Tribolium castaneum: one gene and its partners. Each later gene encodes a partner of the first gene's protein in a complex. Links are inferred from orthologs where the notes say so. Each region holds a gene or a part of one and is shown in the gene's direction. Other genes may lie near its edges.

Region 1 (5,515 bases):
TTAGGCAATTAGTTTGGAAAATTCATCAAAATTAAATTCGAGTTTAATAATAGCCCAAGCCGATGACGCACTTTAAAATCGATAAAATGACCGGTGGCGGGTTTGAATCGCGCGCCTAGTGCCATTTTCGTAATGTCACCACTCAACAGGTGGCGCTTCGTAATTTATTTAAACATAAAACACATGTGTTTCCATGGCTTTTAAAAATCATGGATAATGAGATGGGGCCGGTGTCTGTTAGACTGACACGATCGTTTGTTGATTTGGTTGTTGTTTAATTGGGCTTGTTGGTGCTTTAATTGCTTTTTTTGTAATAATTATGGGGCGTTTGGGGTTTTATAGAGTTCCTATATTGGGAGAGTTGGGACACTGAATGTCAATTTTCGAAATTTTGTTTTATATACGTCGGTTGGAATGTGTAAAAAAAACAAATTGGGATAGAAATCAGTGGTGTTACACTTGAAATTTGGCGAAAAGTCAAATAAATTTGTCAAAAAATGTTTCCATTTTTCGTCGACTAACTGCGTTTAGAAATGGTTTAGACTGGCAGTCGTCGTCAATTCACTGTTTTTTTTATATGAACTCCACATTTTAAAAGAGATTTCTTTGTAAGTACAAGAATTTTACGTCTAAACTCTTCATCATAAACATTTTTTCCTTAACTTTAAGAAATGGTAATCATCGATGAAAGAGAGAGAAATTGAACCTTTCCAGCCAAGTTTTACATTTTTATTAACAAGCTTTTGGAAAAGTTGAGCGTCTAAATAATGTTATGTACAAAATCTATGAGATTTTGGGAATTTGTCTATGTATTTACAAAATACGTAGGTACTTGAACCCAAAATTGGTTCTAATTTTTAGGAAAGTTGAACCTGTCGCTGCTTGGCCGCTTTTAGCATCTACGTGAACTTTAGATTCTGTTTCAAATTGTAAAGTTATTGGGAATTCACGATTTTGTTACGTTTTTCATACGAGAACACCTTCAATATCATTTTTTAGAAAATTTAAAAAGACGACAGGGAATATGAAGGGTTTTTGATGACCAATTTTTGGGAAGAGATGTTTTACTAAAAATTGTGACTGAAAGAAAAGCATTTTTAGCATTGAAGTATGTTTTAAGTTATGTATTTAATATTAAAATAAATATTGAAAAATTTCAGAAATGTGAACGTTAATATTGGTAGGTAATATCTACGTTTCCTACGTCCCTGGTTAAATTTGACGTAAAATTATGTCATTTTATGCATTTGACAAAAATTATAACCTTGAAATTATTTTCGACATAAACCTTTGACATAAGTTACTAACAAAAATTTTAATAAAAAAGGATAGAAATATATACCCTATCCACATAATACAAAATTGGCTCGGTTTGACGTTCAGTGTCCCAACTCTCCCAATAAAGGAACTCTAGGGTTTTATTGACGTTGCGAGGAGAATCGATTGTTGGCAGTTTGCGGGCCAAGTGGAGTTTCTCATGGGGTCATGAAAAATTGAAGGGTTTTGCTTTTTTTAAAGGGGGCTTACGTGGTCGACGTTGATCTCTCCTTTGTACATGAACTCGACCAAGCACTTAATATCTACATATTTGACATCTTTCATGATGAGGATGGGGTCTTTTTCTTCGTACTGGGACAGGATGGTTTCGAAGTAGGTGCTGCAGGCGGAGAGGACGATCTTGTGGGCCTTGATGGTGCGCCCCTCGCAGGCCAAGGTGACGTCGCAGAAGGCCTCCTTCTCGAGGAGCTGCGAGAACATGGTCTGCAAGTTCGAATGGTGGTACCTCCATCTTAGACAATACTGTTGAGGCAGCATTTTTGGTTATGTTCGTCCAGCTTCCTTCCGACTGTTCGCGTTGGAGATGACGAATTTACCAAAAAGTAATGAGTCACCAGCGTGAGACCTTCGAAATAATCAATACTCGTCGGTTTTGGGGCCTTTGGGCGAGCGTTTGTTTTTTAAATCACCACCACTTCACTGGCACGGCACAACGCATCCGCAAGTCGACTGTTTTTGCGAGGTTTAACAATACAAAGTCCGGCCGAGGATTTCTCAAAAATTTGGAGACGCGTATGTAAATGTTCAGTCATTTGGAAAATTCCGACAAAAAATGTGTCCCTTAGTTTTTTATGAGTCAGTGAGCCAATAGAAACCACGTAAGACCCCTATAAACCATGTATAGTCCGTATATTCGCCGGGCCAAGCCTTTAAGGCAAATCAATACCGCACGTCTTAAAAAATTCTCGCGTAAAAAATCTTGGGAATTGTCGAGGTTTTTCGTCACACACAAATATTTGTCGAGAGCAACGGCTTTTCAGCCTAACTAACGGCACCAAACTCGACTAACGCAGATCCAAAACGGGGTCAAAAATTAAACCGACACAGACTCGGACTGTACTGTAATTAGGCCTTTCATATTTATTTTTATAAACTTGAGATTTTTCAGAGCCTGGGAAAGAAAGAGAAAATCTATCAACTGTTCAAGTTCAACGATCGGTCGTCGCGCCGATTTCGCACAAATTCACCGATTCTTTCACGATTTTCGCACACAAAACACCAGCACGGACATTGCACGGCTATTTAGGCGGTTTCCGCGGCACAACATCGTACATTTACTAAGATTTCCGGACCGAACTTGATAATCTCTCTCTCTCATGGAATTTTTTGGAAAAAAATTTAGACAGAGATAGCAAAACGCTATGTAAAGAAAACAGAAATATTTCTTTTGTGGAAGAAATCGTAAAAACTTGCCGTTGGCTACACTGAACTCACCAGGCGGTTTTGGTTACTTTTTTTGCGACAAATGTCAACTTGACGTTACGTTTTGAACCGATAGCAGTGATAACATGTAAACAAACGTTTTTTACGAATTAACTTGCACAAATACTCATTTTTGCTCAATTTTTAGCACCATGTCCGACGATGAGGACGCGCCTTACGTGAAAAAAACCAAAAATATTCACTACGGCTCGTTGGAGGAAGCGGAAAGAGCTAGGTTAGCAGCCGGCGATGGGAACGATGATAGCAATGAAAAGGCCGAAAGCACGTCGGCGAACCCGCCACAGGTTCACATTTCCACAGGTATTACTTTGGCATCCGTAATTTCGTCCAAATGCCAAAACCTCGCACACAAATGAGCTAAAGCTCAAGTCAACATCAGTTTAATGTAGCGCTAAAATATTCACGAAAAATCTAGTACAAGTGGTACATTATATATTTCTTATTCCTTAATGGAGCCTCGTGGCTCAAAACCCAGGTTCTGTTTTTTGTAATTTCTGTAAAACCAAATTTTGAGTCATGGAATCAAAGTTTTTTATTAGAATACTTAAAATCTTATTATTTATTTATTTATACAGGGTGAGTCAGTCATGAGTTAGTTCTGAAATCTGATGCAACCAGTAAAACTAATTCCACCTGTCCAGTTGTATTCCATTTTTTGAGTATATTGTTAACTTTATCTTAACAGTTTTGCCACTGATTTTGCTAAAACTCCTTTATGAACTACTATTTTTTCAAAAATAAAAAACCGAGTAATTTACCCTGGTATCTTTATTACATGAGAGTATTAAGAGTAAAATTTATCGTTGTAACTGATCGTTTAAATGAATTTCATCGTAATTTATCTCAAAAAAAGCTGGTAAGCAGAAGGTTAAAGTCTCAACATTGTAGCCAATATTTTCTCCAAATTCTTGTGATAAATTTTTTGCCAGTCGACATTTAGTGACATTTGAAGCGCTCAAGAGTGGCTTATTAACGGCCCAGTCAATAACTAGGTTCACATATTGACTCGAGTTGCTTTGTCATGCGAAATAATATGATTACAGATTTTTAAAAAAATATAAAACCTGAGTGATTCAGGAAAAAATCAGGTTTAATACAGCGATTAACTTGCACTTTGGCTTTGAAACTGACAGCCGCGGTGTTATTAAATCAAATGCTTTATTGCGCTATTAAATAAATAATTCGTATTAGAACTCCTTTAATGCCATAAATGCACAATAATATTAAATTGAAAAAAGTTGTGCCATAGGCCCCAGCTTTATATAATTTTTGCTTTTTAAAAAGAACAGTTTGTAGGTGTACCTACGAATGGTAAATAAAAAAAATGTTTATATAACAGCAATTATCACACAATTATTAAAAATGCGTGCTTAGGTGCCTGTTTTTATGTTAAAATCTTTCACTTGAATCTAATAAATACTGTTACGTTTAATTTATTCAGAATACATGGAGCTTGAGGACGCCATGTCCCGCGACAAGCAAGCCCTCTTGGAGGAATTCGAGCGTCGTCGTAAAGCGCGCTCTATTAACGTCTCCACCGATGACGCCGAAGTGAAACGAAACCTTCGCCAATTGGGAGAACCGATCTGTCTATTCGGGGAAGGACCGGCAGATCGGCGTTCACGCCTCCGTGAAATACTAAGTCGTATCGGTGAAGACGCAGTCATTCGACGCGAAGCCGAAGAAGAACGTAAAAATTTCGAAAAAGATCTCGAAACAACGTGGTATCATGAAGGCCCCGAAAGTTTGCGAATAGCCAGATTATGGATAGCGCACTATTCACTGCCGCGGGCCAAAGCCCGGCTTGAGGAAGCCAGAAAAGCGAAGGATTTATCAACGGCTACTAGAACAGCCAAGAAGCAGGAAATACAGAAAAAACTCCAGATTATGTCGATTTATTCGAGTCAGATTGGCGATTCGAGACCTATTGCCTATTGCCAGTTTAGTCCAGATTCGAAACTTTTAGCCACAGCTGGATGGTAATTATCATTTAATAAGTGAAATGAAATTATTTGTTTGATTCAAGGAGCGGGTTGTGTAAAGTGTGGTCAGTGCCCGACTGCACACTCAAACAGACCCTGAAAGGTCACGCCTGTAATGCCAGTGCTATTATTTTCCACCCTAGAGCAACAATCAGCCAGGAGGAAAATATTTGCAATATGGCATCGTGTGCAGCCGATGGTTCAGTAAAATTGTGGGATTTTCAAAGCGAGGAACCGATCGCTGATATCGAGGGCCATATGCCACATCGTGTCTCCCGGTTGGGCTTTCATCCCTCTGGAAGGTTTCTCGGGACTTGTTGCTTTGACTGTTCCTGGAGATTGTGGGATTTGCAGCAATGCACCGAAGTTTTACACCAGGAAGGACACGTCAAACCTGTCTATTGTATTTCCTTCCAGATTGATGGATCGGTCTGTGCCACAGGGTAAATACTTTTGGTAAATTGTGACAAATAATTAATTTCCCAACAGTGGTTTAGACTCATTTGGACGTGTGTGGGACTTGAGGACCGGAAGATGCATCATGTTCATGGAGAGTCACTTAAAGGCGGTTCTAGGGATAGATTTTTCCCCTGATGGCTACCACATTGCCACGTCTAGCGAAGACAACACTTGCAAAATTTGGGATTTGCGCAAACGTTCCGTCTTGTACACAATCCCAGCTCATACGAATTTAATTTCGGAGGTGAAGTTTCAAAGGGACGGCGGCGATTACCTAATTACTTCATCGTACG
Region 2 (3,641 bases), on another chromosome or scaffold:
GCGTATTTTTTGTATAAACATATCATGGCGTTTTTATACGCGATGGTCCGTTAAGTCCATCCTATTATGCGTTCTACAGTTATTGTCAAAGTTATTACTTTCACCACTCCTGCTTTTCATGCTCATGATATGCGTTCTGGCATCGGTAATAATGCACAATGCTGAAATCGATACATCAAAATTATTCAAATTTTATTCATAGTTCTACATCAGTGTTGATATTCCCCACTTATAGATTTATGTTCCGCGTTGATATTTAGGTAAACAACGTCATGATTTATAAACACTACTGCTTAGCAAAGTGTCTAAGTTCCTATGTTTGGTGTTGGAAGTAATCATTACTTTGTACACTTTTTGTGCTTAAAATCAAAACAATTTGCGTTTGACATGAGTAAATAACTTGTCTTTTATCTAAAAATGCCCATTTCAACGGCATATCCTGTCGTTTGCATGTCTTTTGGTTGCTTTCCTCCTGTGTACCTGTAATATGCTGAAAGTAAAAATGTGGAAATCCACTTGACATTTTCTTAATAGCTTTCAGGGAAATGGAGATGAGTTTACTTTCTTTCGCCACAAATATTGGAATACATTAGAACTAACGTGAACTTTATAAAAATCTGTGGAAACAAACACTTTGTGTGAGGAACGTTGGGAAAAATAGAATATGATTAATACAAATTCGTTCAGGAATTTCCTGGCCACATTCCTTGTTAGCGGTATATCCAAAGAATGTTTATTATTCCCATAGGTATATCGGTCGTGTCTAATCACAATTTCATTATAATAATCCACATAATGATAATGTCAACCACAGTGGTCAAGTTATCATAATAGAATATTGTTTGCTGCAAGTAGCATTTTAATGTGTTTATTTAAACAGCATGGACAGGGCAACTGAACTCTTCCAAGATAACTGTAACACGAATATAAATAAAAGAAAAACTCCTGAGAAATAAAAATAGCTAAGCATTCACATTCTGCTACAATTACCATTTATTCCCCGATATAAATTATACGCTCTCGAGCTGTCGTGTTATAAAAATAGAGCGTTATAAATCATATTAAAGAGGAATAAATCAATGTGTAGGGGTATAAAGCTCTTAGAGAACGTAAATATAGGCTAAACCAAAATAACACCATTGTTTCAATTAACTGGAGTATACTGACCTTTTATTACAAATTGATGATTTTAAATTCCAAAATTTACTCCACGAACATTATTGTCACGATTTTAGACACAAGTTCACTTAAAAATACGATTATTTATTACAAAAAACACAAAACCTACAACTACAACACACTCAACTCCCACCTCGGTCGGCATTTGACGAAAACGACAAACGACTGAAATACCGAAGAAAGCCGCAAAGCGCATGACCTGTTACACTGCAAGAGCTCCAAGCTCGCACATACGCGCTCCAAAAGAAATAAAAAATAAAAACAATTCATGCATTCCACGCCGTAAAAATGTAACCATAAGGCGGTAAAGTCTTAACAAACGTGTGCCACTACTTTTTGTAATTGTCTTAAGCCGTATTTTGATCGTTTATTAAATTGTTCGGTTCCGTAACGTAAGTCCTAGCTTGAGCTTTTTGCTGTAGTTGCGACACTAGCGCCATTAAGCTCCTGTCAAAATCCTTTTTACTGTCAAATTGATTACTTTTTGCTGTTTGTAAATGTAAACAGTTGTTTCAAATATTTATTGCTAATTTAAGAATTTATAATTATTTGAACGTATTATTAAACGGTCAGAATGACTTCCATGCCTGTGTCTTCTTCCACCTTGCTTCCGTTAGGTGAGTAAAGCAAAAAAACGTAACGTGTTTTTTTGGTTATCTGCCGGTGTTTGAGCATTCAATAATAATCATTAATTTATTAACGTTGTTTTTGCTATTGTAGAACTTGTGGATAAGTGTATAGGGTCAAGGATCCATATTATTATGAAAAATGATAAGGAAATCGTGGGGACGTTATTAGGCTTTGATGATTTTGTCAATATGTTACTGGAGGATGTAACGGAATATGAAACAACGCCTGAAGGAAGGAGAATTACTAAATTGGACCAAATTCTGCTTAATGGGAACAATATAACAATGGTACTTTATTTTGTGCTTCGTTTTTATGTTTAATATGCCATACTGTATCTAATTAATTCTTGAAACTAATTCAAAATTTTAGCTTGTTCCAGGTGGAGAGATGCCAGAGTAAGTCATTTGAATAAAGTATAAAATAAGGGCATTTTTGTGTTTGTTTAATACCCTTTTTTGTATCATAAAAAGCTCTTATTTTTGATGAAAACAACACTGTACATTTAAGGAGAGATGTGTTTGTGTCAAATTTGTCCTAACTGGGCCTTTTAACACAAAAAAATAAGTTGTTCAGAACATTACTTTGTAATCGCGGGTTAGGCAACCACCTTATCTTGTTGTATAATGTGTTGCCAACTACTCCAGGCCTTTACAATGAAAAAAGGAATGGAACGACGTTAGAAAATAACTAAAAGTCGTAAAAACGGTTCGTTCCAGTGAATTTTGCGGCTCATTTTACCATATATCAGCTTTTTACGCAATTTAGAACCCACTGGAGTTGCTAAAAGTCCATATGTTCGATTTTTTTTATCCAATTTTTTGTCTCGATTTCCGGTACCCGGAACATTTATATAGGTTTGGACCAAAATAGTTCCATAATTTGAAGAGAGCCGGCCAGCAGCATTTTTTTTTCACTAAAAAAAGTCGTAACTCAAAAAAGTCGTAAAGCAAAATGGTTTGTTCCAGCGCATTCTACGAATCACTAAACTAAGGTGGGGGTGAAATAAAACACCGTTGTACTGTTATTCATTTATAGAAATAGAATAGACATTTTTAATCACAGTTAGAATACTATTCAAGTTTAAGTTTCTGATTAAACTACTCTACAGAATTTTGAAACTTTGTTAAGTTTAATCTCAGAAAATACTGTATTCAGGGTTTGCATTAAACATCTCTTATAGTCAACGAATCGTAAACTCATTATTCATCAACCACAATTTGTAATATCTATTTTGATTTAAAAAGGTTGACTGCACGATACATAAATTATGCCTATTATTCCGAAATATGGATAAACATAATCCCTTGTGCACTAATCCCCGTTAAAGTCTGTTGAAATTAAAGCCGACTGTATCATGTAGTCACCCTGAGTGTAATTCCTCATTTGTACAATTTTCAACTAACGTAGAAGCTAATTTCGATGTAACTAATGAATATAATAAGTACTACAAAGGCAACTAATTTCTTAAACCGCACCTTAGTGAGCCATGTTCCAATCACAGTCGTCTAGTAATACCTAGTTAACCTTTACACAAACTAACTCTATCAGGAAAAACTTGGAAAAACACCACGACACACTCCGTGGTTCATTTATCCTAGTTGGCTAATTTTGTACCTATTCTTACAATTTTGTATCTTTAATTTTACTTCTCCCGGGAAGTTTGGAACCAGAACATACAAACCTTGTATGAACTACTACCAAATTTACCCAACGTAACAAGAAAATTGTGTTAAAAATGTCTACGTAACAAAACAAACCATAACAAAACAAGCACTTATCGTGCAACAAATTCACAATTCAATAAATACGATATAATGGATATTGAAATGACG
Region 3 (5,233 bases), on another chromosome or scaffold:
GCGAAGAGAATTTTGGGAAATTGAGATTATTTTAGCAATAATTGTCTTAATTGTAACAAATTTATAAACGAACAAGCGCTTATTGTTTGGCTTGGCCGCGGCCGCTTGTGTTTAGCTTAGGGACGTTTGTTTGGGTCAAAAATGTATCCTAGATTCTAAAAGAAATGAAACCTTTTCCCCGTGATAGTACTAACACTTTGTATTTTAACACGTAAATAATTAGGGAAATGTAACCCTGTGATTGTTGAAAACAAAGTCGCGTGACTTTAAATATTTTTATTGTAAAAAAAATTGTTATCACCTAGAAACTCATATTGGTAGGCCAGGGTTCGGTATCGTTCTGGACAAAAACATCGTCCTCGGAGGCGCTCGTCCCTGGCGACGTGTACGACGTCTCCCCCACGCAGGTGTAGTAGCTCTCCCTTTTGCTTAAAGACACGTTGCGTCCGATGCAACTCAGGCCCTCGGTCGCCCTCTGGTTGGACGGGTCGAGCCGCAGGGCCACGTTGTAGTGGTGGAAAGCCTCGCTGTCCTTGTTCAAATTGACGTAGCAGTCGCCCAGCATCTGGTGGATGCGCGAGGTGGGGTGCTGTTCCACGTGCTTCAGCAGGAGCTGCCGAGCTTGGTCGTACTGCTGCTCCTGCTCGAGCAACTCCACGAGCATACAGACGGCCTTAGTGGAAAACGTCTTGTCTTGGCTCACGGCCTTCTCGAGGAGGTTTCGCACCGTTTTCCCGGACGTCATCGGGTCTTTGAGTAAAACGGAGGCGTGCAACTGCAGTGAAACTATTTTTTGTAATTGTTGTTATTTGAGGAATAAATAAGAAAACAACTTAATGGCGCCTAATCCGTTTCGACACCTAAAGCAAAGACAACGTCCCATCCCGATATTCCTCTCAGATAGCGCATTAGTTTGCCAGATGAAGGCAAACGAAAAAAAAGTGATACGTTTTTAAAATAATTCGTCCCAAAAAAACAGTCTAACAGCCAATTCTCTCTTTACCGTATTACAATTTTTTCACTTACCGTAACCGAATGTGGGCTGAAATTGAGCTGTTTGCACGCATTTTGCGCCATGGAGTCGGCCTCCCTCAGCCGATTCATCTTCACATAGCACTCGACCAAACACTGGTGCAAGTCGTATCGAAACGGACAGATCTGGATCGCTTCCGTGCAATGCTGGGCGGCATCCTGGTACTTGCTGAGCTCCACCAGCGTCTTGGCTTTCAGCAGCAACGCCTCTATGTTTTTGGGCGAGGCACAAAGCGCCTGCTGTGCGAAATAAACGGCTTTTTCGTGCCGTCTCGTCGAAAACATCAGATTGCCAATGACCACCCAATGCTCACTCGTCCACAGCGACATATCCGAGGTCGGGATCAAATCCTCCAAATACTCAACGTGTTCGGAAGTCCCCGAGCTCGCCAAAAGCGTGGCCAGTAAATCGCGACCAAAGACTAGGTTCTGGTCGAGTTTAATCGCCCGCTGGAGGACTGCAATCGCCGTCTCGTCCTCACACATGTAGTGGTAGCAGTAGCCCAGGTTGACCAGCAGCGACGTGTTGTCTTTGAGTAGACCGTGGCTGTCCATGCTTTTGTACGTTTGGGCGGCGTTTTCGAAGTCGCGCGAGTACAACTGGGCTTGTGCTTTGAGCCAGAGGTTTAGCCAGTTTAGTTCGGAAGTTGCCTCCACCATTAGTGCGTTGACTTCGACCCCTTTCACCCCCAGCTTGAGCAAGTTCTCCACGGCTTCGAGGGCCAGCGGGCACTCCCGGAGCACCTCCTTGTAGCACGTTATGGCCGAGCGCTCCATCCCGGCCTCCCTGTACAAGTTGCCGAGCGCCATGTTGACTTTGGGGGTCCGCAGGCGGGCCTGAATCGACTGCAGCATCTCGATGGCCCCATTCACCTGCTTCAGGGCCATGCAGCACTTGTGTATCTTGAACCTGATCTCCACATCGCTGGCCAGTTCGGGCTGACTCTCCGTGATTTTATTAGACATTGACTTGGTTTTTAAGAGGTGTTTGCGGAGCTGTAAGGCCTGGCGGTACAAACTCTCGCTTTGGGCGAACTGTTGCGTCTCGTACAGCGAATCGGCGTACAGCAACATCACCTGGAACTTCTGCAAAGGGGGCAAAAAGTCGGGCTTTTGCTCGGACGCCGACAGGGCCAAGTCGCACTAAAAGCACAGTTGGGGGCTCAGACTCCCAAAAGGGGGCTACAAACCACTCGGGAGATGTTCGAGTGCAGGGCAAGCTCGTACATCGCCTGCAATTGCTTCAATAAGTTGGTCATCTTGGCTTGGCAAATGTGGGGTTAGGTTTTTGAACTCGGCAAATCCCGTAACGGCGAAACCACCAATCCGGATTTCGCGCACGTCAAAACGTTGCATTGACGTTGTGTACGGTAGGTATTTCCTTCAAATTTTGTAAAAAGGATGGGTTCTAGTAGCAAAAAATACAAAGAAAAAGAGAAAGAGTCTCGTAAGCGGCGCCACCACAGCCCCGGCTACACCGACGAGCATGAGCCCCCGAAGGAGAAGCGCCACCGCCACAAGAGGCACCACAGGGACAAGAAGCGCGACGCGAGGGCGAAGCACGACTACGACAGCGACGGTAAGCACCCCGCGTCCAACTTTCCCGTTTGAATGATTTTTTGCCAGGATCCGACGTGATCGAGGTGATTCCGGACGATGAGCCTTCGGGCTCCGGGCAAAACGCTGAGAGTCTCTCGATTGAGGAAACGAACAAACTGCGGGCGAAGCTCGGCCTGAAGCCGCTCGATGTGAGTTCGGGGGACAAGTCCGAGAAGAAACGGGATGACGGGAAGAAGAAGGACGATTGGGGCGAGTTTTACCACAAGCCGGCGGAGAATTGGGCGGATAAGCACGAGAGGGAGAAGCTGAAGGGCAAATTGACAACGATTCGGGAAAAGCGCCAGCTGGAGAATAAGCTGGGCAAGGTGAAGCTGCTGGGGGACAGTGATAGTGATGATAATGTGGAGTCGTGGGTTGATAAGAACCGCAAGATTGAATTGGCCAAGAAGGAGGCTGAGAAAAGGGCGAAAATGTTGGAGGAGTTGGATGAGCAGTTTGGGGTCAGCGAGTTTGTGGAGAATGAGAAGAAGGAGAAGAGGAAGCAGAGATACACTGAGAGGAATTTGAAAGGGCTGAGGGTGGAGCATGATGTTGATAGCTTTGCTGAGGAAAGGGATGTTATCTTGACGCTGCAAGACAAGGGCGTCTTGGATGAAGACAAGGAGGATGTCCTGGTCAATGTCAACATGGTTGAGGACGAGAGATACAAAAAGGTAATTTGTTACAAATATTTACAGTGAATGATTATTTATCATCAAATTTCAGAACGTTATAAACAAGAAGAAGAAGATTTTGTATAACGCCTACGAAGACCAGGAGTACGACGAGTTTGGCAACCCCAAAGAAAAGTCGCTTTTGGCCCAATACGACGAAACAATCGACGGCGAAAAACGCGAAAGCTTCAAAATCGGTTACGACAATGCGGTTGAACGTAAACAAGCAATCGTGCAATCAATTAAGGAAAAACTCGCCAAAAAAAGAATCGAATCGATTGAAACAAAAGATTTAAAACTCGCATCGGAATATTACAACGACGAGGAACTGTCCAAATTTAAAAAACCCAAAAAGAAAGTCCGCAAAATCCGAACTAAGGGAAAACTGACCGCTGATGAATTGGAGCAACAAATTAACAACAAAGGCATCGAGGAAGTCGGCTCAAGACGCCCAAAGAAAGAGCTCGAAGACTTGACCATTGACGACATCCCCGAAATGGAATACCCCACGGACGTCAAACTCGAGGACGAGAAGGACGATCTCTTGGAAAAAGCGCTGCACAAGACACGCAAAATCAAACAGAAGGAGAACCTCGTTGCTGAGATTGTTAAATCAACGCCGGTTAAAAGCGAAAGTGAGGAAAACCTGGAGGGGAGTATTGTTCTGAACGCCACGGCGGAGTTTTGCCGCACTTTGGGCGACATCCCAACGTACGGCAAGTCCGGCAACCGCGAGGAAACCGAAGATTTGATCGATTTCGAGCGTGATCTGAAAGACGAGCCCGAAATGGACGAAGTCGAGCAGGAGGAGAAAACCGGCTGGAATTCAGTCGATCCAAACGAGCCGCACGAAAGCCCGCAAATTGCCCCACAAGAGGTGCAAATCCTCGACGAAGAGCCTGATGTCAGTACAGGGCTTGGGGCAGCTTTGAAGCTTGCAATGAGCAAGGGGTACCTGGACAAGGAGCAGAATAAGAGGCCGTCGAATTCGCGGTTAGCGCATTTGCAAGCCAAGCATTACTCTATCGAGGACAAGACCTACGGGGATGAGGGCGATCGCGCGAACCGCCGGGAGAGGTACACTGGCCCCATTATGGAGTTTAAGGAGAAGGATGGGTTTAAGCCCAATGTTAAGTTGGAGTATATCGACGATGATGGGCACGTGTTGAACTCGAAGGAGGCCTTCAGGTATCTCTCGCATAAGTTCCACGGGAAAGGGCCGGGGAAAAATAAGATCGAGAAGAGGATAAAGAAGGGCGTGCAGGAGCAGTTGATGAAGAAGATGAGTTCGACGGATACGCCCTTAGGGACTTTGAATATGCTGCAAGCGAAGCAGAAGGAGACGCAGTCGCCGTATGTGGTCTTGTCGGGGAACAAGCAGAGCCAGCAAACGGCGGTTATTTCCAAAAGTCGGCGTTAAGTAAAATGACTAAGAATAAATAAATACTATAATTTTGTGTGAACAAAATTCAGCGCTACTCTAAAAAGAAGTGGCAATTTTAAATTAAGGAAAACTGGGCATCATTGTAAATTGTATAAATTGTTTCATTTTTATCAGTTTTTATTTACAAAGTCCTAACGAAAAGTGTTACGAAATGTTTTTGTTTTGTAGATCGTTTTTAAGGGACGGGTACGATAATGATAATGGTTTTATGAATAAGTTTTAAAGTCTGGCTCCCTACGAGTACAAACGGTGTAATAATTTTTGCGATAAATGAAATGAATTAAAAGTGAGTTCCGTGTTTTAATTAGAAATTACCAATTTCCCATATTTTCCAACAAAACGGTAATAAAGGAAAATATTGAACAGAAAGTTATAGTTAATTAAAAAAATAAATGGTTGATGACCAGCTCTCGACGTGACCTTTCACGTCACTTCCGTGAGCACCATTATCAGTCATGATTAGGATAGGGATTGCACGGTAATC
Region 4 (3,713 bases), on another chromosome or scaffold:
ACCAGGCTTTAAAAATACGTAAATATTATGAACGTGACTACTACAGTCATATTGACAGAATCTGAATAACGTTTTGACAAAATTTATAATACAAGAACTTATTATTTCTAAAATGGTCTTAAGTACAACCAAAAATACCTATTCAAGCATTCACTAAATCTCTAATCTATTGCTCTCGGAGAGGCCCAACTTTAGGATGTCTTAACTCGATTACCAGTTGAGATACATTTTTTTTTCAAATAATTTCTTGTTTTGACTCGCCCTCTTACACCTTTTTCTCTGGGGAGCTAGTTCTGACACACGCTATATTTAATTCCAAATCAAAATTGTTTTCCCGGCGCATCCACCAATTTGACACCATCATGAAAATGTAAATAAAACACGATAAATTGTTTGTATCTTTATTGTAATTATTGTAAACGTACATAAGTGCTTATATGGATAAGTAAAGAAAATCCTAGGTTGGCGCAATGAAAATTTAGGAAGTCACTGAAACAAGAAAACATCAGATTAAAATCCCCCTAAAGGATTCACGTTTACACATGTTGATCTACTCAAATCAAGATTTTTAGTCCTGATTTGAAGAACGCACAGTTGTCACTGTTAATTTTACAATTAATATGGGTTACTCGTGGACGATAAATATTTTACAGCGTAACAACTACAAAAACTAACAAATTTCGTTAGTCACTTGGTGCTAGAATCTATTCGATTTTCAGGTGAAGAAGAATGTAAATCAGGCACCAATAAAAGTAATGGTTTATTGTGTATACCTAACTCGAATTTACCACCATACAAAGCAGATTTATTCACCTAAATGTCTATAAAAATTTCGACTCGACTAATGACTTTTTTTTTTCGTGTTGTGGAGACCGTGACCTCGACTTAGATCTTGAGTTATTTTGTTTACTATTCGATTCCCCTGAATCCCCCCAATCCGACAGATCATATTTCGATAAGTCTCCGTCGTCGTCATCCTCCTCCTCGTCCTCCTCCTGCTCCTCCTCTTCTTCCTCCTCAACCTTCTTCTCCACCTTATCTACACTATTTTTCATCTCCTTCACCTCCTCACTTTTCTTCTTTTTCCTCCTCCCGAACTCGTCATATTCGTCGTCAGACTCGTGCTCCTTATACTCGACCACCCCCCTGTCGTTATACCCCCCACCGAACCCCGTCCTCTCCTCCACCTCCCCAAACTTGGGGGCGTTACAAACGTTACACTGCTGCCTCCGCGCCCAATTCACGTTACCGCATTTGTTACACTGCCAATCGTCGGCACTAAACAACCCGCGACTTTTCTCTGCCGCCGCTTTACCGATCTCGTGCCCCAATTTGCGCTTTTTCGCCGACACCGGCCCCCGACTTTTGTAACAACGGTTACAGTTGTTACGGCGGGCGAAATTTACGTTACCGCAGTCCGGACACGTCCAGTCTCCCTCGTTCGACGCCGACGGGCTTTTCAGCGACGGCGGCGGGGGCGGTGTCACTTCGGCCTCTTCCATGGGGGCGATACTAGACTAGAAAAGGCGTAAAGAGTAGTGGCTAGAAGGAGCACTACTAGAGGGAACGGAGGAGCAAATGTTAACATCTGGCGGTACTGGTACTGCTTTTACCTTTACTGAACCTTTTTCCAGCGGTTATTCCAACAAATTTGTTGATAAAAAAGTAACGTCAAACCGAAGATGCACCGAAATGTCACTAGCACAGAGGGATTTTCGACGCCAAACGTTGCCCACACCAATCAGGACACGATCACCAAAACAACAATTGCCTTATTTCAACGCAACACTTACCGATTTCTGATTACAGTTATCACCAAAACCAATGACTTGTTTTGTTTAATTTTTTGCATTAACTATACGTTAAAAATGTGAAAAAATTGGGACAACTGATCATGCCCTGTACTTAGCAACTGTCAAATCTGTCAGTTTGTGTCAAGCGTTTGAAGAGCGTTTTAAATTTTAAAAACTCAAAAAAGTACACAAAATGTCGAAAGCACATCCTCCGGAATTGAAAAAGTGAGTCTTGTTTTGTCGTAGAACGTATTACTAGTTTTTTTGCAGATTTATGGACAAAAAATTGTGTTTGAAGTTGAATGGGGGCCGACAAGTCGTTGGTATTTTGCGCGGTTTCGACCCTTTTATGAATCTAGTGGTGGACGAGAGTGTGGAAGAGTGCCGGGATGGCAAGAAAAACAATATAGGGATGGTGGTACGTTTCTTTTGAATTAGTGTGGATTTGAAATTTGAGGTTATGTTTATTACAGGTGATCCGGGGAAACAGTATCGTCATGTTGGAGGCTCTAGATAGGATTTAGTTTGTAATTTTGGCTTAATCGATAATTATTTGTAATAAAAGCGTTCGATTCTGACCGAGTTTTCTTTTATTGGGCTTGGGGTAGGGTGGAAATAAGTGAATTAGGGTAATAGGAGGGAAAGCATTATCGTCGTCGCTTTTGTGCGTTCATTCACAAAGAAATTCAATTCGTATTGTTTTCCTCGAGCGGTTTGTCCGTAACAGTGTATGAAAAGCTTAGAGAATGTCGCATGCGCGCCGCCACTGTTCCACCGTCGGGAAAATATTGGAAACGTTCGCTAGTTTGGCATTAAAGCGTCTCGGCGGCGACGTTCCAGTGAAAATTTTCGTGTAGTGACGAGTTTTCCAGAGCCACATCACAATCAGCGTCAGGTATTGCCCCCATTGACAGTTTTTCCGGGAAAACATCCGGATCGAAATTAACACCCACTCGATTTTAATGTCATTTCCTTGGAAAATGAGTTTTTTGAGGAACAGTCTTAAAGCAACCACCCTTGACTAGGTCAAAGGAACACGCTGAAATGTATTGCCCTATAAGATTTCGCTTTAATTAGTTAATTGTGCCCGAAACAATGGACATTATAACTACAATCCCCAAATTAAATGGAATAATTTTTTAAATAGAATCTTGTGAAAGGTGACGGGTAATATTGGGATAAAATCGGCAATCAAACTCCGAAGATGACACTAAGAGACTTTCCAACGTCATATTGACCCGTCTTTTTCATGTCAAAACAGCATTTTAATAATGCCACCCTCGAGAGAGTTCTATTTTTATTTTTCCTGGAAATTCTCCAAGTTTTTCTCGTTTTTCCAATACGAAAAATTCAATTGTAATACTTATTTAATCCATCACTTGGCTTAATTAGTTTAGAAGACTTTTCTGATCGCCTCAGGATATTTTTCAGAAAGGGATCACGTTTCAACTGAAACAACCTTCATTATGTAACGTTATCAAATTCCCCGTTTATTTACGTCTTTTCAAATCACGAAAAATCCTAAGCGGTCATTGTCGGCCGTCAATCTCGCTCGTAAAAAAGGAATCCGTTAAAATATTAATCAATCAAAATCCTTTTAATCTCGTTAAGTTTTAATTGAATCTCACGGAGACAGCCGGAGCCTTGCTCATTTCTCTGAATGTGATGAAAGGAAAATTCTCATACAATTCTCAGGTGGATTTACTTAACTTTCATAACAGTTTTAATTAGCAAATCCGGGGCCGCCAACAAACGAATTTAATCAAGAAAATGTTGGAGATGCGATGAAGAGATTTTCGGAGAAAAATGCGTATTTTTCTCCGAATCTAAATCCGGTCTTGTACCGCAAACAGAGTTCCATTAAAGTATTAGTCTAATATACTGTTTCCACGTTGTCGGCTCGTTTTCTATAAGTATACA
Region 5 (3,636 bases), on another chromosome or scaffold:
TTGTGTCCTTACCTAGGTCATCCATGGTAATAAGCTGCCGTTCTAATACTAATTTTAAGCAAAACTTCTCAACTACATCACGAATTATCGGCACTTTTTAGGAAAATGACCTTATTTAGGCATTTTCGCAGAATCACAAATGTCAAGATATGAAATTCCAGACGGTCAGTGTAGGCAACCTTGAAAGAAGTAAACAACGGACGGGCAGCGCCTCTCAACAAGTTTTGCAAAATTTTAAAAACCAAAATTTTTTTCCCGCACAAACCTTGCGAATTAACTGACTGAGTTGCCCCCCGTATCTAAGTGACTTGATAACTGCGTAACGAAAATTACGTTAAGTTATGATTTAATAAAACATGATAAGAACTGATAGTGATAAGGACGTCTAAGAAGACTGCAAAATCCAGCACAAAAATAAAATTAAATTCGTTGCTCTTGTTTTTATTTAACTTTAGTCACCGTTGGTGAAGTCCCTGATCGGGAATCCCCACAACCCAGAGATAAAAACCATAACAAGAAGATAAAGTCATAGACCCCACAGGTCACCGTATATAAATGCAGAAGTTTATCATCTCGAAGGTTACTCGTGTTGTTCCATTAAAGGACGTGCTAATTAAATAAATAATTTTAATTTTGCATACAAGGCAAAGTTGAATATGGGACGAAAGTTCGTGATTATTTTCTCAATTTTGCACCAAATTCTGGCTCGAACAGGTAAAACCACCGCTCAAACCCCATCCATTGCTAAATGAGGTGTTTCCAGAGTCAAACTTGCCGGCAGTGTGCCCCGAAATCGTGAGTCGCACTAGATGGGGGGCTCGCACTGCTTTGGAAGTGGATTACGCCCTAATCCCTGTCGAAAACGTGGTCGTGCACCACACGGTGACCAACACTTGCAGCACTGAGGAAGAATGTGCGGCGATTTTGCGAAACATTCAGAATTTTCACATGGAAAATCTAGATTTTCACGATATTGGATACAAGTAAATTTGATGATTTTTGTTTTTTTTTTTTTAATTATGGTTTAGTTTTTTAGTGGGTGGTGACGGCCAGATTTACGAGGGCGCAGGTTGGCACAAAGTGGGGGCGCACACACGTGGGTACAACTCCCGGTCTTTGGGGCTCGGTTTCATCGGCAATTACACGAGTAGGTTGTTTTTCGTGTTATTTTCGTACTTTACGAGCCTTTTATTACAGCTCAACTTCCAAATAAAAAGCAGATACAAGCCGCTAAAGATTTTCTCCAATGCGGGGTTGAGTTGGGAGAGTTGGGCAAAAGTTTCAAACTGTTTGGGGCCCGCCAAGTCAGCGCGACGGAAAGTCCGGGCCTAAAGCTGTACCGCGAACTACAGAACTGGCCGCACTTTACCAGGTCCCCGCCGAAATAAACTGTATTCTAGTTTTTAAAATAAAATTATTATAAAGCATACGATTTTGAATTTAAATATGGCGCCCATTAGTCGCAAGTTTGAGGTTATGTTGTTTTGATTATTCGAGGTTAGGGAACTAAAAACCGTAAAAATGCCGAATTGGGACCAAATTCAAGCCCAGTTGAAGCACCCAGCGAACCCGGTCGTGTTTTTCGACATTTCCGTCGGAACTACGGTACCAATAACCCAAAATTTCCGAAAACTGTATTTTTCGATTACAGGAAATCGGCCGAATGATTTTCGAGTTATTCGCAGACGCGGTCCCCAAAACCAGCGATAATTTCCGCCAGTTTTGCACCGGCGAGTTCCGCAAAGACGGCGTGCCGTTGGGCTACAAGGGGGCTAGTTTCCACCGAGTTATCAAGGACTTTATGATCCAAGGGGGCGACTTCGTCAATGTAAAAATCACGGGATGCGATTCCGCAACTAATTAATATTTTTAGGGCGATGGGACCGGCGTTATGAGTATATATGGGGGCGGAACGTTTCCCGACGAAAATTTTAACCTAAGACATGACGGTCCTGGACTTCTATCAATGGCAAACAGCGGCAAAGACACCAACGGTTGCCAGTTTTTCATAACTTGTGCAAAGTGTAATTTCCTGGACGGCAAACATGTGGTGTTTGGACGCGTTATTGACGGACTTCTCGTCATGCGGAAAATCGAAAACGTGCCCACGGGGCCCAACAATAAGCCCAAAATCCCGGTCACAATTGTACAATGTGGCCAAATGTAGTAGTGTAATTCAAATTTTAATAATAAAAGCACAAAATAAAACTTAGTTTAAATTTTTATTTTGTCAGGTTGGTGGTCCCATAACCTCACTTGTCAAAAACGTAAATAATCGTGAAATGGAAAATAAAAAAATATCGTTCGGTTTCAGCAAAATTAGTAAAAAGACCGAAATCAGGTCAAGTGTTCCGAAACCCGAAAATAAGATACAGCTAATTGACTGTTTAGAGGGTCAATCAATTAAAATAAAAGGGTATGTTTCGTTTTTGAGGTTATGTTATTTTTGCCAAAAACCTCATTTTAGTGCCGTTGAGGAGACAAATGAGCCGTTGGTGATACCAATCCAAGGCCCATCAAACAAATTAATAGACCAAATAAAAAAAGCGAGGGAAAAACACGTCAAACCTGAAGTTAAAGAAGAGACAGGGGAGGCAAATTCTGTGCCAGACTCTGCCCTATCTCTTGACGAATTAGCGGCAAGAGAGTTAATCCGAGGTACTTACCCTATGTTTCAAGTGATTTTCTAGTGTGAATAAAATTTTCAGAGGCACAGACTCGCAACACTGTACAAAGCGAGACAAAAGTCTACTCCTTGCCTTTAAATGACGACAAGTTTGTGGCAGAGGGGGCACAGGAGTCGTCTCTCGACGACTACGAAAGTGTACCAATTACAGATTTTGGTATGGCGATGTTACGTGGCATGAATTGGAAAGAGGGAATGCCAATTGGGAAAAGGACCAAAAAGTTGGTTTAACTTTTCTAAAACACATCCTGAAAATGATTTTTTCTAGATCTGAGGTCCCAAAAGTCCCAGAGTTGCGCCCCAAAGGCCTGGGCTTGGGTGCCAATAAAATGGTCAATTCCAGCACCCCTTCACAAAGTGTAGATAAGGAGGGTAAAGCGCTCCAGCTTGTGAAGGGGGCTTACGGTAAAATAATAGCCGGCAATCACAGAAGTCAATACTGCCAAGTCCAGGGTCTGGATGACGAAAATTGCAGAGTTATAGTGAAGACAGCTCTCACGAATGAGATTTTAAGCTTAAATGAATTTTTAATTGTGCCAGTCACGAGTGAGGAGTATAATAAGTGTTCAAGGGTCATAAGTGAGTTTGCCTTCAATTGTGGGGTTTTGAGTGATTTTGAGGTTTCAGACAACGCGAAGTATGAGGAACATGTGGAAAAATCGGCGAAAGTGGAGCGAGATCGCTCAAGGTCACGCTCATCAAGTCGCGAAAAGAAGCACAAGAAAAAGACGAAAAAGAGTAAAAGCAAATCGCGGGGCTCGGACTCCGACAATGATGTCAGGAGGAGGAGAAATAAGAAACATTCAAGGCATGGAAGCAGCGATAGTGGGTCGGATCGTGATTACAGGCGACGCAAGGGCAAAAATAGGAGATGAGGCTTTTAATTAAATATATTTTTCTACAAAGATTTTCTTTTGTTGGTAGCAACCACAATTACTGTCCCTGTTCCA
Region 6 (3,534 bases), on another chromosome or scaffold:
TGAAGGGCAACAGAAACTGTGTAAAGTTAAAAATGCTTACGTTATTAGCCAGTAGTGGTAGATGCAGCGACGTCTTATTTTAAGGAAATGAAAATAAGATACGGAATCAACGGAAATGCAATTGGTGGAATAATCATTGCCAATCCACCTGCTGGAATTCCCTAAATTGGGATGTCGGTCGTGCTTTTGGTTATTTAAGCTATAGAAAGTTGTTGTTAGGTTGGTAGCTAGGTCTAGTGCGGTGCTAATAATCTTTCTCTTATAAACCTCATTTTTTGTAAATTAATTGTCAGTGTCAAAAATTTTGGAATTATGTTGGAACCCTGCCACATTGACATAGACGACTAATTTTAAATGGAGTTGCCAACGTTGAAACAATTTGAAAATTGATTTTAATTCCGAATGGACTTTAGCAACCAGTAATTTTATATACGTGCTGATTCTTTTAGAGCCTATATTACAAACTTTTTAACTTCTAACATAGGTTGAGCTTTAAAATTTTGTACACGATTCAAATCGATCACTCTGAGTTAAAACTAAATTATTTTCAAGATGGCTGAACTTCCGGAACTACGAGAAATTGGCGACAACTTTGAAATTTTAAATGGTGACCACCTATTTTTATTGTGTTTCTGAATTCGCCTTTTGAAACTGAGTAAAATGTAAACCTAATTGTTAGTACTTATCTGTCTTAGTTTTTGAAATATGTCAAATGTTTTGATAAATTTTTTATTTGCAGAGGTTTATTTAAAACATCATAGCTCTTGAGTACTTTAAAATAAGTGAATAATTCTTTTTGCATTTGATAACCAAAGGCTCGAAGGGTCTTCTGAAATCTTTACGATTGTCAACTGTCAAATTGCAAGGCTACTATGATATTTTGAAAATGATAATTAAAAAACAATTATAGAACAGTTTTTTTAAATGGAATGACTTCAATGGCAATCAAAAGAACATCAATTTTTATGCAGACTTATTAACATCTTCTATATCTATCTCTTACAGTTTTTGAAATAATCTCAAAAAACCGAATTCAAGGTAATTATTTTCATTTTTAATCGAGTAACCTTTCAAAAAATACGATAAAATTGTACTAATGATTAACAGAAATTTTAAAACTGTCCCCCATTTTCACTCAAAAAGTTCAAAATTCGATGGCAAACTGACTGAGTTATTCACTAAGTTAGCATAAACCATAATTAAATATTAATGTTTTGCTGCTTATTTGATAATGAACCAGCTAAAAACTAAGTAAAGTGTCGAAGTTTGACAATTGTTGACCATTTTGCAAGGTCTACTTGATTAACTATAAAAATTACGAAGTAAAATCCGTTATTTGTGATTTTTTCAAAAACTGTAACAGGTAAGGTACAGGACGTGTTGATAAAAATCACCATGAATATTGTTCTTTCGATTGCCGTTAAGAAAATAGAGTCGATCCATTTGAAAAAACTGAATTATAGCCGATTTTATTTTTAATAACCATTTAAAAAAATCATACTAGCCTTGAATTTTGACAGTTGACAATTTTGAAAATTTTAGAAAACTTTTCGAAACTCCGATAATCGAATTAAAAAAAAATATATTCACTTCTCCTAAACGGTTCAAAGGCTGTGATAATTTAAATAAACCCTTGCAAATAAAAATTTTACCAAAAAAATTGACATATGTAAAACTAAGACAGATAAGTACCAACAATTTTAATAAATTTTACTCACTTTGAGAGAGTGAATTAAAAAATGTAATAAAAATGTTTAGTTACTCTTCAAAATTTTAAAGTTGGCGCCAATTTGTCGTGGTTCCGGAAGCTCAGAAATTTTGAAAATAATTTAGTTGAATTTCAAATAGTCGCTTTTAAAGCACTAGTTTTTTTTAAAGTTAAAAAGTCTCTAATGTAGGTCCTAAAAGAATCACCCTGTATAATCTGCCGATTTCTAAGTGTTAGTGAGTGTTAAACTATGCATGATCCCTAAAACGAGTGATTGTATTATTTTAAAAAGTAAAACGCGGTAATAATCTGTGGCTTTAATTAAAAAACAAATTTTTTTTAGATTCAAAAAAACACCTTCCGCCCGAATTTTATTACATGCCAAGACCGGTCTGTCCGAATATCGTTAAAATCGAAAAAGGTGTTCTTATTGTGGCGACACTGTAACGACAACTTAACCTAACTTTTGGCCTGTTTAATTTAATATTACAAACAAGTATCATCTTTCGTGAGAATGGCAGATGACTTAGAAAATGTAAGACCCATTTCATTTAGAATTACATTTCACCTACCACTCCTTTCAGATTCCCTCAATCACCGTCAAAGAACCGCTCGATTTAGTGAGGTTAAGTTTAGACGAACGTATTTATGTAAAAATGCGAAACGATCGAGAAATCCGGGGCAGACTCCACGTAAGTTGTCTAACAAAGTTCCATCCATCACAAACCGAAATTCCAGGCTTATGACCAACACATGAACATGATCCTGAGCGACGCCGAAGAGACCATAACCACGGTTGAAATCGATGAAGAAACATATGAAGAGGTTTACAGAACGACGAAACGTAATATTCCCATGCTTTTCGTCCGAGGTGACGGCGTGATCTTGGTCTCACCCCCAATGCGCACTTCGTAAATAAAACACATACGTTGACATGATGTTTATTTACCCATTAAATATCGTATTTTACAAAGATTTCCTGATAATTGGTTAAAATATTAAAAAGGAGTATTAGGATAGTACGAGTTAAATAATTCTCTATACAACTTAATTTATAAATAAAACGTTCATTACAATATGTACATCTCAACCCAAGTCAAAACCATCCACTGTAAACGCAATCTAATAAGCTTATCATGCAATGCCTCAATAATACTGGAAATTTGGCATATTGCTAAAGTTTGCTCGTTAAAAATTGAAAATTCGTTGCTTCAATACACTTGACTAGCCGTGCTAGCCTTCCTTCTATGTCACGCCGACGTTTCATTTTCGCCCCAACCCTCACTATCACACTCCGAATCGCTTCCTGAATCCGAATCGCTAAACTCGACTGCAACCCTCCGAGCTAAAATACTCGCAACATCGTGGAAACCGTTCCCTCTCTCCACCTCCTTCTGTTCAATCTTCTCCACCTTGCGCAACTTAATCCCATCTCGGATAGCTTTGAGTAAATCATTCCTGGGATCGACGATAGGCGGCGCCTGCTTTGGCCGATCTTTGACAGGTGTCAATTGCGGCGGCGACGCACTATTTATAATTTTCGCCAAATCGCCGTTAACCAATGGGGGACTAGTCGTCGGGCCGTTCAGTAACGGCATTGGTGGAGGTGGTGGCGGAGGCGGGGCTTGTGGAGTTTGTTGTTTGGGGGGCGAGGCTTGCTTAGGTATGGGCGGTGGTGGAGGTAAGTCTTGCACCGGTTCGGGAGGTGTGGCTTGATGCGGACTGTTTGAACGCGATTGGGTGGCGAGATGTGCGGGGATGCCGTTGGGCGGTGACATGGTCGTGTCGGGTGGTGGGGGCGGTGGTGGTAGGTTGTCGCGGCCGGA
Region 7 (3,833 bases), on another chromosome or scaffold:
GGCCCCGGATGCGGAAATAATTTTTCCCGCATTATCAGCTTCCGTTTCCCGCCGTCCTACAATTACCGATAATGAGTACTGGTAACAAGACTCATTTTTCGCCTCCAGTTGTCTCAAATCTCTTTGTAGAAAGTGACGGCCCCCCTGCCATGAAAAAACTCAAACTAAACCAATTCGAGTGTTTTCCAATCACATCATTGGACAACATCTCCGAAGTGATCGAAAACCCGCCCCAGTGGGTGAGCCGAGTCGCGCCCTTGACCGAGCGCAGCCCCACAGTAGTGCAAAACATAATTTCGGATTGTCATTGCGATGCGAAAAAATTCGGTCCACGAACGCGTCTCGATAAGAGATTTGTTCCCAAAACTTTAGTGTGCCATGACTACAAAGGTGGCTATTTGGAAGACAGGTTTTTGTCAAGTAGCAACATCGGGAATTTGTACTCGTTTTATAATTGGCAACACATCGATATTTTCGTTTACTTCAGTCACCACCTAATCACAATCCCACCTTTGTGTTGGATAAATGCCGCGCATCAAAACGGCGTGAAAATTCTTGGAACTTTGATAACAGAATTCGAGCCGGGGAAAAAAATTTGCGAGAAGATTTTCAAAGACGAGGACACGATGCGAATTTTCGCAACTTCTTTGACCCAAATTTTGAAAATTTTCCAATTCGACGGGTGGCTCCTCAACATCGAAAACTCGCTCCAAGACACCGAAATGTTGAAAAAATTCGTTGCCTACTTAGGGGTGCAAACGCACACCCAAAACCCCGACCATTTAATCATCTGGTACGACAGTATCATTGAAACGGGCGAATTGAAATGGCAAAATGAGCTCAACCCCCTTAATAAATTTTTCTTCGATAATTGTGACGGTATTTTCCTCAATTACGTATGGACTGAGGAAAATATCCACAATTCGATTGAATTTGCAAAGCATCGGACTTTGGACGTTTACGTGGGGGTGGATGTCTTCGGTCGCAATACCTTCGGAGGCGGTCAATTCAACTGTTTCAAGGCCGCCCAGATGATAAGGAGACACAACTTATCAATGGCGATTTTCGCGCCAGGCTGGACGCACGAAACGCTGCCCAAAAGTGAAAATCGGCAAAAATTCTTCGAGGATTTTATTAATCGAGACTCGGCTTTTTGGAACAGTCTGTGGCCCTATTTATACACGCATCCCATTACGAGGTTCTTCAAGACCAGTTTTTTCACTGGAGTTAACCAGGTATTTAACTAATTAATTAGTTATAACGCGCCCAAGTTCGTATTACGAAAAATAGTTCGCCCTTTCTCTCTCACTCTTTCCTATCGGAACTCCTATAGCTCTGTCCTTGTCTTATGTAAATAGCGGGTTATAACTTTTTAAGTAAAATTATAATAACTTAATAAAAACAAATGCATTAATTTTAAGGACGTCTACGACCTGTTCACGCAACACCCGCAACTCTCAAAAATCAAGCACCCAAAGTCACTAGAATGGGTCCCCAACCACCACGAAATACCAACACTGAACAATAAGTGCAACTGTTTACAGTGTGCTTTCACCAGTACTGGTGTTAGGTGTTTAATTACTAAAGAATTTTTGAATAGTTCAATATGTTACGTCCATCGTATTTTCACCTGTGATATTTTCCTATCTGGAGTTATCACAATTTACGTTTTGACGAAACTAGTACGCGCACAAGCCGCTCAATTAAGTTTAAATCTCCTCACTTCGGATAAAAACGGTACAATTAGAAAAATTAAATGCAATAGCACCGTCAAAGAACACCTAATTAAAAACTGTACGTTAATGGAAATCAATCCTTCGATAAACCCCTCACTTGTTAATCACGTCGTTAGAAGTAACGACGATTTGTTTCTACACGAAAATTTAACAATTGCGTAAGTCGGTCACACGTTTGGTAGGAAAAAAAAACTAATTAACTTTTTCAGTGTTTATCAGTTTGATTGTTCGCCGTGTACGTTATTGGAAATTGGATGTACGTTAGAGGAGGGAAAAGCGATTTATTTGTGCGGTCTTGGAGTCGAAGAGCACGTTCTAGTACTCTGACACAACTTTCGTGACCAACAGTACAAACAATTTTCTGCCATACTGTACATTTTGCCAGGGCTTGAAGCCCAAATAGTTAACATGTATTAATGCTTTAGTAACGCCCCAATGTGTAAATAACTTTTTTTGAATAAATGATAACCGAGAATTTTGCATTTTTCATTTGAAACTTTGTACCTCCACTGCGCAAGCAGTCCTCTACAAATTGTGTCCCAAAATTGCGTCAATTTTTACGTAATTCTTTAGAAGCTAAGAAAATTAATTACGAAATTGCTGGACTTTACAAACCGATAATTATTTTTTTTTATTTCAAAATTAATCGGAAGGTTCCGTGCGCATAGGAGACCATATGCACGCGTCACCTCCAAACGTATTCTAGGTTAGAATTTCAAAATCGGCAAAATTCCACAAATAAAGCCGAACAATGGCATCGTCAGGTGACAAATCAAAAGTACGTACCCCAAACTGCCCCATTTCGCCCCCTCAACCCCCATTTTTACCGTAGAATCAGAGCGGTGACCAAAAAGAGAAGAAACGTAAAGAGTCGATTCTAGACCTCTCTAAATACCTTGAAAAGACAATTAGGGTGAAATTTGCGGGCGGCCGAGAAGCTAGTGGTATTTTAAAAGGCTATGACCCCCTTTTGAACCTCGTCTTAGACAACACAATCGAATACTTGAGAGATCCAGACGACCCTTATAAATTAACAGAAGACACGAGGGCCTTGGGTTTGGTGGTCTGTAGGGGCACAAGTGTCGTGCTCATATGCCCCATGGACGGCATGGAGTCCATACAGAACCCCTTTATATCCCAAGACTAAGTTTTGTACCATAAAAATACCTCTAATTTGTAAGACGTTTTTTTGAATAAAACCGGTAAAAAATTAATAAAACTGTTTTATTGCACAAACTAGCTCAATAAATTAATTAGAAGTTTAGTTATAATGAGCGTAAGCAACCACCAATGCTTATAACCAAAAGTAATTAAAGCGTACACACAAAAAACGTGTTAATTACGCTTGAGATTAACGAATAATTGCCCCAAATAATAAATCTGGGTTGATTCAGTTGATTGCAAAAATGGGTTTTTCTGTCCAAAACTACGGTTGAGTACAGTCGCCCACACATTTAATGGCCCTGTTGCGCACCGAGCATGCGCAAAAACGCTCTGACCGACTCGGATGACTCACCGCCGCCATTTTCCTTTCAAAAAAGTGACATTGGTGACAGTTGAGTGCAAAAGTGCTTTAAAAATGCCGGTCAGGGTGGATATTACGCCTCCCCCGCCGGCCAATTCAAAACAGCCGGGGGTAACAAAGTCCCTCTTATACAACGGCTCCAAATTTCAAGGTTTCCAGAAATCGAAAGGCAATTCGTACGAAGTGGAAGTGGTTTTACAGGTTAGAAGTTGCAAATAATCGCACCATTGCCCCCCTTAACCAAAATTTCGATGACTTTGTACCGTTCGAACCCTTGTAGGACGTGTGACGTCCCTTTTGCTCACCGCTTATTTAAAGAAAACTAAAAATATCAACATATGCTAATGCAATCCGAAATGGCGGGAAATTTAAATTTCGCTCGTTTTTCCAGCACGTCGACGAGGAAAACTCCTATTTGTGTGGCTATTTGCAAATTAACGGGCTCACCGATGAGTATCCCACCTTGACTACGTTTTTCGACGGCGAAATTATCAGCCAAAAGTACCCGTTTTTGACCAGAAAGTGGGACGCCGACGAGGACGTGGACAAAAAACACTGGGTGAGCACCCAAA

The links.
Region 2: U4-U6-60K (region 1) and U6 snRNA-associated Sm-like protein LSm5 share a complex: the UniProt entries of both Homo sapiens proteins name them as parts of the precatalytic spliceosome. The link is inferred for Tribolium castaneum from reciprocal best matches to the Homo sapiens genes PRPF4 and LSM5.
Region 3: U4-U6-60K (region 1) and U4/U6.U5 tri-snRNP-associated protein 1 share a complex: the UniProt entries of both Homo sapiens proteins name them as parts of the U4/U6-U5 tri-snRNP complex. The link is inferred for Tribolium castaneum from reciprocal best matches to the Homo sapiens genes PRPF4 and SART1.
Region 4: U4-U6-60K (region 1) and SNRPG share a complex: the UniProt entries of both Homo sapiens proteins name them as parts of the U4/U6-U5 tri-snRNP complex. The link is inferred for Tribolium castaneum from reciprocal best matches to the Homo sapiens genes PRPF4 and SNRPG.
Region 5: the proteins of U4-U6-60K (region 1) and peptidyl-prolyl cis-trans isomerase H are in contact, whole or in part, in a crystal structure (PDB 1MZW), measured with the Homo sapiens proteins. The link is inferred for Tribolium castaneum from reciprocal best matches to the Homo sapiens genes PRPF4 and PPIH. Residues at the interface, in NP_004688.2 of Homo sapiens: Arg113, Gly116, Glu117, Pro118, Ile119, Thr120, Leu121, Phe122, Gly123, Glu124; in NP_006338.1 of Homo sapiens: Phe14, Arg26, Phe46, Cys47, Thr48, Gly49, Pro57, Ile58, Gly59, Tyr60, Lys61, Gln173, Cys174, Gly175, Glu176, Met177.
Region 6: U4-U6-60K (region 1) and LSm3 share a complex: the UniProt entries of both Homo sapiens proteins name them as parts of the precatalytic spliceosome. The link is inferred for Tribolium castaneum from reciprocal best matches to the Homo sapiens genes PRPF4 and LSM3.
Region 7: U4-U6-60K (region 1) and LSm7 share a complex: the UniProt entries of both Homo sapiens proteins name them as parts of the precatalytic spliceosome. The link is inferred for Tribolium castaneum from reciprocal best matches to the Homo sapiens genes PRPF4 and LSM7.

What each region holds. Positions count from the first base shown.
Region 1 is NC_087397.1:1,343,913-1,349,427, forward strand, and holds the start of U4-U6-60K (U4/U6 small nuclear ribonucleoprotein Prp4), read left to right. Parts: upstream 1-2,707; 5' UTR 2,708-2,848; intron 2,849-2,908; 5' UTR 2,909-2,912; coding exon 2,913-3,081; intron 3,082-4,222; coding exon 4,223-4,760; intron 4,761-4,807; coding exon 4,808-5,206; intron 5,207-5,252; coding exon 5,253-5,515. Other genes in the region: zinc finger protein 131, read right to left, coding at 1,528-1,815. UniProt on the Homo sapiens protein: Plays a role in pre-mRNA splicing as component of the U4/U6-U5 tri-snRNP complex that is involved in spliceosome assembly, and as component of the precatalytic spliceosome (spliceosome B complex).
Region 2 is NC_087394.1:33,639,867-33,643,507, reverse strand, and holds U6 snRNA-associated Sm-like protein LSm5, read left to right. Parts: upstream 1-1,616; 5' UTR 1,617-1,753; coding exon 1,754-1,796; intron 1,797-1,899; coding exon 1,900-2,096; intron 2,097-2,178; coding exon 2,179-2,208; 3' UTR 2,209-2,238; downstream 2,239-3,641. UniProt on the Homo sapiens protein: Plays a role in pre-mRNA splicing as component of the U4/U6-U5 tri-snRNP complex that is involved in spliceosome assembly, and as component of the precatalytic spliceosome (spliceosome B complex).
Region 3 is NC_087395.1:24,228,532-24,233,764, forward strand, and holds U4/U6.U5 tri-snRNP-associated protein 1, read left to right. Parts: upstream 1-2,433; coding exon 2,434-2,611; intron 2,612-2,658; coding exon 2,659-3,305; intron 3,306-3,357; coding exon 3,358-4,725; 3' UTR 4,726-5,039; downstream 5,040-5,233. Other genes in the region: APC7 (anaphase-promoting complex subunit 7), read right to left, coding at 302-775, 1,027-2,175, 2,223-2,291. UniProt on the Homo sapiens protein: Plays a role in mRNA splicing as a component of the U4/U6-U5 tri-snRNP, one of the building blocks of the spliceosome. May also bind to DNA.
Region 4 is NC_087395.1:18,415,935-18,419,647, forward strand, and holds SNRPG (probable small nuclear ribonucleoprotein G), read left to right. Parts: upstream 1-1,858; 5' UTR 1,859-1,986; coding exon 1,987-2,018; intron 2,019-2,063; coding exon 2,064-2,211; intron 2,212-2,266; coding exon 2,267-2,317; 3' UTR 2,318-2,371; downstream 2,372-3,713. Other genes in the region: zinc finger Ran-binding domain-containing protein 2, read right to left, coding at 822-1,502. UniProt on the Homo sapiens protein: Plays a role in pre-mRNA splicing as a core component of the spliceosomal U1, U2, U4 and U5 small nuclear ribonucleoproteins (snRNPs), the building blocks of the spliceosome.
Region 5 is NC_087395.1:17,965,664-17,969,299, reverse strand, and holds peptidyl-prolyl cis-trans isomerase H, read left to right. Parts: upstream 1-1,442; 5' UTR 1,443-1,521; coding exon 1,522-1,605; intron 1,606-1,651; coding exon 1,652-1,828; intron 1,829-1,873; coding exon 1,874-2,167; 3' UTR 2,168-2,212; downstream 2,213-3,636. Other genes in the region: peptidoglycan-recognition protein 2, read left to right, coding at 657-714, 764-983, 1,029-1,147, 1,198-1,388; G-patch domain and KOW motifs-containing protein, read left to right, coding at 2,283-2,416, 2,468-2,658, 2,709-2,907, 2,955-3,265, 3,314-3,561. UniProt on the Homo sapiens protein: PPIase that catalyzes the cis-trans isomerization of proline imidic peptide bonds in oligopeptides and may therefore assist protein folding. Participates in pre-mRNA splicing.
Region 6 is NC_087399.1:10,143,059-10,146,592, forward strand, and holds LSm3 (U6 snRNA-associated Sm-like protein LSm3), read left to right. Parts: upstream 1-2,085; 5' UTR 2,086-2,222; coding exon 2,223-2,243; intron 2,244-2,292; coding exon 2,293-2,400; intron 2,401-2,446; coding exon 2,447-2,623; 3' UTR 2,624-2,641; downstream 2,642-3,534. Other genes in the region: SCAR (actin-binding protein WASF3), read right to left, coding at 2,959-3,534. UniProt on the Homo sapiens protein: Plays a role in pre-mRNA splicing as component of the U4/U6-U5 tri-snRNP complex that is involved in spliceosome assembly, and as component of the precatalytic spliceosome (spliceosome B complex).
Region 7 is NC_087399.1:1,125,301-1,129,133, reverse strand, and holds LSm7 (U6 snRNA-associated Sm-like protein LSm7), read left to right. Parts: upstream 1-2,354; 5' UTR 2,355-2,487; coding exon 2,488-2,514; intron 2,515-2,568; coding exon 2,569-2,883; 3' UTR 2,884-2,955; downstream 2,956-3,833. Other genes in the region: ENGase (cytosolic endo-beta-N-acetylglucosaminidase), read left to right, coding at 72-81, 130-1,235, 1,422-1,894, 1,946-2,063; glucose-induced degradation protein 4 homolog, read left to right, coding at 3,316-3,462, 3,653-3,820. UniProt on the Homo sapiens protein: Plays a role in pre-mRNA splicing as component of the U4/U6-U5 tri-snRNP complex that is involved in spliceosome assembly, and as component of the precatalytic spliceosome (spliceosome B complex).